Linked DNA regions of Caenorhabditis elegans. The protein of the gene in region 1 purifies or fractionates together with the protein of each later gene. This does not show direct contact. Each region holds a gene or a part of one and is shown in the gene's direction. Other genes may lie near its edges.

The links. Proteins that work in one complex are often made in the same cells at the same time.
Region 2: the proteins of rpap-3 (region 1) and F32D8.4 fractionate together in Caenorhabditis elegans (co-fractionation; one large-scale study listed by BioGRID). This does not show direct contact.

What each region holds. Positions count from the first base shown.
Region 1 is NC_003282.8:7,777,339-7,780,933, reverse strand, and holds rpap-3 (RNA polymerase II-associated protein 3), read left to right. Parts: upstream 1-1,968; 5' UTR 1,969-1,970; coding exon 1,971-2,594; intron 2,595-2,643; coding exon 2,644-2,913; 3' UTR 2,914-2,995; downstream 2,996-3,595. Other genes in the region: sec-10 (Exocyst complex component 5), read left to right, coding at 514-746, 794-1,382; swd-2.1 (Anaphase-promoting complex subunit 4-like WD40 domain-containing protein), read right to left, coding at 3,062-3,298.
Region 2 is NC_003283.11:10,890,896-10,895,086, reverse strand, and holds F32D8.4 (PIH1 N-terminal domain-containing protein), read left to right. Parts: upstream 1-1,526; coding exon 1,527-1,709; intron 1,710-1,754; coding exon 1,755-1,862; intron 1,863-1,908; coding exon 1,909-2,019; intron 2,020-2,066; coding exon 2,067-2,264; intron 2,265-2,316; coding exon 2,317-2,429; intron 2,430-3,207; coding exon 3,208-3,370; 3' UTR 3,371-3,490; downstream 3,491-4,191. Other genes in the region: F32D8.5 (Transmembrane protein 70 homolog, mitochondrial), read right to left, coding at 1-25, 70-160; F32D8.14 (Protein YIPF), read left to right, coding at 387-429, 475-555, 608-706, 769-1,331; F32D8.12 (D-lactate dehydrogenase (cytochrome)), read left to right, coding at 4,094-4,191.

The sequences.
Region 1 (3,595 bases):
AAAAACTGATACAAATTCAAGTCTGAAACCCGCCTCGCCGAATTTTTCGATATTTCAAAGTAGTTTTCAACAATTCCAAATTTCAAATATTAGTGCTGGGTTACTGTAGTTTTCAAGAAAAAAAAACGTTTTGAGCTTTTTACGAGATTTTCAGTGTCACCTGTGGCTTTCAGCAAAAATTTTTCGACCAAAAAACGAAAAAATTCAAAATTTTTCCTTTTTCCGACTAAAAATCAACATTTTTGCAATAAAATTTGTATTGGTTCGAAAAAAACCAAGAAACCCATTTTTTTTCCAAAAGAAACCAATAAAACGGTGGGGTACTGTATTATTTTGTTTTAATTTTTCTTTAGGAATATTCAAAAAATATTCAAGTTTCCGAGTATATTTCCTAAAAATTGAGAGTTTTGAAATAATATTCGGAATTTTTTTCCAAGCTTCTTTCAAAATTTTAACGTATAAAAAACCTAGCATTTTTGCAAAAATAAATTCGAAATTTCAACTTTTTTGCAGTTATGTGACAAAGAAGAGCTGCCAAGACACGTGGAAAATATCGTAGACGTTCTATTAAAATATCTTTACGGAGAACATTTGGATTATGCTGTGGAGACAGGCTTGGCTGGAATTTCTCTTGCAGAATCAAAAACTGAACCACCTGCCTACTTTTTCTCGGTTGTTGCAAAATGTACCAGTGTCATTTTACTTATGATTAAACAATTTGAAGATCCCATTTTCCCTATTATCAAGTGAGCTTAATTTTTATTAGAAAACAAATAAATATATTTTATTTCAGAGAAACAATTGTCGAACCATCTGTTGCCAAGAAATGGCAACAATCTCTGCGTTCTTTGGAATCAAAAATGAGTTTAGGATTGGAACGGCAATTGAATTCAATCGTAGGATACGTGAAATTCTTGTTCAGCGAACAAAAGAAAACTGATTTCCGTCCGGATTCTCAGCAAATTGATATTCGAGTATCCCCACAATGTCAATTGGCATCTCGTTTTCTTGCAAACCAAGTTGCTGCAATGGAGTTGGGATGTGATGGCGAAAATTTGGAAGCACTTCAATCTGATCTTGCAACTCGGCTATTCAAATTCATGCTTACACATATTCAACAGTTCACATATAATTCTACTGGTGCTGTACTTCTTCTTTGTGATGTTGGAGAACTTCGAACTCTTGTATCAAAATGGAGAGTTCAAAATGCACTGACACAATGGGAAAGTCTTCAAGCTCTTACCAATTTGCTCGCCGTTCTTCCCGATCAAGTTAATGAAACAGCTCACTCCTCGTTGCTCGAAAATGTTGATAGACAATTGATTCATGATTTTGTTCGACTTCGAACCGATTTCCGATCTATTAAAAATTTCCAAATTTAGTTGTTCAAATATATTTATTGCCTTTTTCGATTTTTGTGAATGTCTATTTCTTATCCAGATGCTTTTTTCTTGTGATAGATTGGATTTTTAAACTTAATCTTGAAATTTTTTTAAATAAAAACTAACACTTAATACCGTTGCGGGTATTCTTGTAAATAAAATGCTTGCTTTTTTTTTTTAATATCTGTTTTTACCCAAGTTGGTAGATAATTCCATCGCATTGTTATTTGTTGTTACCAAATTGTGAAATGTTGCTTTTATTTAAAAAAAAAACGCTTTCTGCTCTCACCACGGAAAACAATTTTCAAATAAAGGCTGCGCTAGGGCTGACCCCAAAACACAAGAAATTAATTGTTTTAAAACCCAAAAAACCAACAAGAAAATTGTTTTTTCTCTTCTTTAAATTTTTAAATTTTGTTTTTTTATTCGAAAAACCCCAAAAAATCTAATAAGATTTCAGAATACTGATGAATGGGTTACTGTACTTGTAAAAGGTTTTTTCGTGTCTTGAATGAATAAAAAGTATTCTTGGAGATAGAGCTTACTTGTGAATTACCTTATTTTGAAATAAAATATTTCGTTTCAGAAATGGACGAAGAAAAAAAAATTGCACAACGTCTGAAAGAGCAGGGAAACGAAGCTTTTAAGAAGAAAAAGTATCATAAGGCTATGACAATCTATTCGAAAAGTCTTGAACATTGGCCTGATCCAATTGTATTCAGTAATCGAGCTCAAGCTGGGCTCAACGCAGATCTTCCTCTACTTGCCCAAATCGATTGTACTGCTGCACTAAATTTGGATTCAACTGCAGCAAAAGCTTACTACAGAAGAGCTCAAGCCTTCAAAGCACTGGAATTGTATGAATTGGCTGAAAGAGATATGAAAACTTGTTTCAAATATTCGAATGATCCAAATATGGAGAGACAAGCAAATGATCTGAAAGGAAAGAAAAATGTGCAAGTTATTGATCTTCCGTCAATCGAAAGAGACGAATATCTACAATCAGATGAAAAATTCACAAAAATCGACTTTACGTACAATATTGAGAAGATCGAGGAGATCATTGTCGCTGAAGAACCAGAGAATGATAATATTGTTCCAAAGTATATAACAAAGCTTCCACCACACCCAAAGGACTATCAAGATTTTGTTGGAGCTGTGAATATGTTGAAAAGAGCCCAAAGTTTGCTTCCTCTTGCAGAATATTTCTTAGTAAGTTGGAAATCTGTGACGTTTCAGAATTAATCGAAATTTGTTTCAGAATATCAGCATGGATAAATATTCAGAATTATTCGATGAACTCCTAGACGATGTATATGCTGTTCAAATCTTCAAGGCACTCAACTTTCATCTGAAAACTGGTCGCACGATTCCCCATCTCGCCGCACGAATGATGATCATCAGTGAACTCAGTCGTTTTGATCTTTTAATCGCATTTATGTCCGAAGAGCAGAAATCAACTATTACTGAAATCTTGGATTATATGGTTCCAGAAGAAGCAGCAATGGTGTCATCAAGATATTCTTTCTGATATTGAACTTTCTTCATTTCGAATCTCAACTTGTTGTTACATTCATATTGTTGTTTTTGTGAGTAAAAATTATAAATATCGTAATTTTAAAATGTTGAATCGAGATCAATGGGGAATGATTTGAAATGTGCTATTTGCATCTTTTTGTTTAAAGATTCTGAGTGTATTCTTCACTGGGTGCCCATAATATAACTTCTCGTCCTAAAGATGTCATCAGGAATTGTTTCTGATTGAAAGCAACTACATGTGACGGTTCAGGATAAGGAGTTGGAAGCTTGCAAGTCACTCCACCCGTTTCTGTTGAATAGATATAAACGTTTCGGTCTGCGCTTCCTACCATTACGAATCCAGAATCAGTGGAGACCGATGCTCGAAGTGGGATTTTCTGAAATAGAAAAGATAATTTTGTTTAAAAAATTATAATTTTTCAAGTTTTTTATAGAAAATAACATTCGAAATTCATATTTGCTCAAAATGTTTAAAGAAACGTTTATAATTGACATAACTTGATGTTTTTCGTCTTTTTGTAAAATCGTATTGTTGGCGAAAAAACTATTTTCGTTTTCGTTTTCGAAAAAAAAATTGGATTCAGTCCTGATTACAGTAACCCAACTCTCCTTAATTGAATTTTTTTTTCTTTTTCACATTTTGTTTTTTTTTTCATCTAGATTTTGAGGTATTT
Region 2 (4,191 bases), on another chromosome or scaffold:
GGTAGAACTTCGACGTTGCCTGAAACTCAGATGGAAACAATAATTTGAAATTTGAAATAAATCGCTTACACTTTGACGTTGTTCCAAGACTTCTTACACATTTTTGAAAGTTCGATGAGCTGATTCTAATCGGGCGGAGCAATGCATATAATGAAGACATAATTTATTGATACTACCAAGAAGCTAAGTGTTGAAATTTATTAAAAGCAGGTTCAGCGCAGGAAGATTTCACTCAAGATTAAGTTGTCCAAGAGGAGTACACGGACCAGAGTTCGTTCAAACATTTCTAGGCCGCGACACAAGTGCGCTCTACTGCTTCACTGTTACAACGAAAAATCTCTTCATTTGCCACATCATTTCAATAAATTTTTGATTATACTCTCAATATGTCGAATGGATTTTGGATGGATGATGGACAACAACAACAGGGTATTTTTATTTAAAGTATAATGTTTATAGTTTTATAATTTTCAGGAGGATGGAACACTCAAACAAATCAACAAGACATGGGTTGGGGTCAATTTGATTACTCGCAGCCACAACAGCCACCGCAGCGTGAGATTTATTTGTAATTAAACAAATTTCTTGAATATCATTTCACCTTCAGAAGCTGGAAACGACTACTATCAACAAAATCAACAATATCAACAACCACAAACCAATTATTATGGAGGACAAATGTTCATGCCAAACAACGGGACGGGAGGTACATATATATTTATATCAATTCTTCATTCTGAAATGCATTTTTAATTCTACAATTTTCAGCAATTCCAAACGCCGGTGTTGCTGCTGATGGCGAAGACTATGAAAATGAGCCACCACTCTTGGAAGAACTCGGAATTAACTTCTCACATATCAAGGAGAAAACTATTGCTGTTTTAAATCCAACTGGATCTGCAACTGTCGAAGTTATTGCTGATCAAGATCTTGCTGGACCTCTCGTCTTCTGTCTTCTTTTTGGAGCCGCTCTTCTTCTTCACGGCAAACTCTCGTTTGGATTTATCTATGGAGTTGGCGGACTTGGATGCGTTGGAATTTATGCCCTCATGAATCTCATGGCAACGGACGAGAAAAATATTTCCTTCACCTGCACCGCATCAGTTCTTGGATATTGTCTACTTCCAATGGCTCTTCTGAGCATTGTTACAGCTGTATTATCATTCAAGGGCATTATCGGGTATATTATATCGTCGCTTGCTGTCCTTTGGTGTTCTTCTGCTTCATCAAAATTGTTTGTAATCGCTTTGTCAATGGATCACCAACGTCTTCTCGTTGCATATCCGTGTGTTCTTCTCTACTCTGTTTTCGCCCTTCTTGCCATTTTCTAACGTCGTGTCTTCTTGTGAATAGTTTAAATACTTGAGTAATTTATTATCATTATTTATGAGTATAGTGCCTCAATTAATTCATTATCATAAACTATTTTTTGTCATTGATCCTGATCTTGATTTACAAACTTAATGTTAAAACTCGTTTGCATACTTTTTGGTTTCGTATATCTGGAAATACTGAAATTGTTTCAGATGGATCTTAAAATTGAAAAAAAGGAGGAAGCGGAAACGTGGCTCATCAAACCACTTCCAGGTTATGTGTGTAAATGGAAGGATGTAAAAATCAATGGAATTGTAAACGATGAATACCGAAAGTGTTTTGTAAATGTATGCCATTGCGAGCAATTACCGCCACCAATCGACGATTTTGATCAAGTAGGTATTTTGAAATTATTTCCGTAATATCAACTATTTTTAAAGGATGAAATTGCTGCTCAATTAGATGCTGGAAATCCGTCATTTCGAATTCCGATGAGTGTTGGCGAAATTGACTGCGTGAAAGATCATAGTGATGAAAATTCGATCAAGGTAGTTTAATTATAAATGTTTGATTGTTAGTATGAAATGTTTTTAGATTGATGTTTTGGTAAACAGCACATTCTATAAAAAACGACTAGCGTCTCCAAATGACGCATTCTTCCGTCATCTCCTTTGTCTAATTTTCTGCGATCTTGTGAAGGATAGAGTCAGTTGAAATTTTATCAATTGAAATAACATAATTCTTAAATTCAGCACTCCATTGACTTAGACCCATTGAAACCAATCGTTCTTCGCAATCGTGTTTCAGTTGGAGAACTTGAAGTACAAAAAATTCACAAAAAACCAGAAAAACAGATTGTCGAAGAAATGTATCAGGAAGATAAAGTTAGAATGGAGAAAGAAGAAAAAAAGCAAGTTGGAAATGATGATGTTGCTGAAATGAAAAATGAGGTTAGTTATTTTTGTTGCAACAATAATTTTAACTTTAAAATGTCTCCTTTAGATGTTTGGCCTGAAACACATTGATGGAACAAGAATACGACTTTTTGATGGTGACAGACTCGAAATCAGTATGCGATGTGAACTTAATGGCGAACCAATCAAAGATCCTAGAAGGTGGGTACATTATTTTAAATTCAGTTGAAATATAAACAATCAAAATGCGAGTTGAGTTTTCAAAAAGTGTGAACACATAATTAAAATCATCGATTTTTCTTTCAATTTCAAATGTTGACTATGGCCAGTGGGGAAATGATTGAAATCCATCCCTATTATGCTAAAATGTCGAAATTTCATAATAAATTAAAAAAAAACATTTTGACAAATTTTTATTTTTTTATTTTATTTTAAAAAAAAATCTAAATTACTGTCGGATGTTTGAACCCTATAATGTAATAATATGAATATTTTGAACATAATTAAAACATAAAATTGGAAGACAAATTGTTTAATCGACTTTCAGAAAATTCGTGAAAATTGAGTTTTTGACTCGAAATAAACATATTTCCAAAATTTTTCCAACAGTTATATTTATTTCGCAGTTTTAGCACCGCAGGAATGGTGTTTAATCATTTCCCCACAGGCCGTAACATTAAAAAAAATGTATCGTAATTTAATTTCTACCCGATGATAAATAATTTTCCAAAATCGTCTAGAATTTCTCAAGATTCTCAAAAACACAGACTTCATTATTATCTATATTAGTTTTACGTGCAAGACTTATTATTGATAAGTTTGTAGGTGTGAAAAACTGTATAAAAGTTTTTAATCCATAAGAGGCTACAAAGCTAATTTCCAATTTGTACGTAAAGAAGCAGAAGCAAAAAATACCTGATTTTGAAAAACCTAAAATTGATAACTTGAAAGCTTTTTTTAAAAGCTTAATATTTTTCAGACTAGAACTCCAACTCAACCCCACTCGATGCTTGGTAACGTTGGATAAAAGTCGCAGCCTTTATGATTTCGGACTCCCATTTCACATCAATCCGTCCACAGCCAAATCCAAATTCAACCACGAAAAATTCACACTAGTGGTTTCAGCAAACATTCTGTTGTGATACTGTAATCTCGCGTTTCTTCTAGATCTCTATTGTTGAATGCCGTTGTTTTTCTACTTGTTGATTTTGTTCCCAGTTTTGGAATTTTTCAGATTTGTTTTACTGATTAAAATTTAAAAAAAAATCTATATTATTGCTTTTGAAAATCGCCGAATAGATATAATCAACTAAAATAAGATCCAGAGCGTTTCGATCCTAAAAAACATCACATGCATATTGCGACTTTTTGAAGTTCAAACAACGAAACAGTCAATAAAATATCCTATGAAAACAAAAATTAACCATTTTTGATGTTTTTTGCCCGTGCAGAATCCTATTTCGAAGTAAATTATTTTCAAAGTAAGAAAGCGGACTAATTCACAACTCAATAAATGCAAAGTTATTTCTATTTTTCTGAAGGTTTCTAAACAAGAAAAAGCTTATTTTAACGTATTTCTTCTCTAATTCTCCATTTTCGTCTTCATCACGTAGAAACCAACACTATTTTCAATGTTTCTCATCCTGCGTCTTCCATCTCGATGTTTCATGTCAATGTTTCATTGAACTTATTGGTTTGCCCGTTTTCTGTGTTACATCAGAGTCCAGTTCTTCAACTACGATCAACCCATCACGTATGACATAGAGGAAGATAAGATGGTTTTTAGCCGAATTCTATCACTTTTAACCTCTTGTTCATTTGTATTTTCTTTCATTTCTTTCATTTTCATTCACATTATTTAGAAAATGCGGCGAGTCTTCAGTTCTCAAGCAATTCAAACGGCAATTGAGAAATCTTTGCCAGATCTTCAAAAAATTGTTGGAAACTCTTCTGTTCGGACACA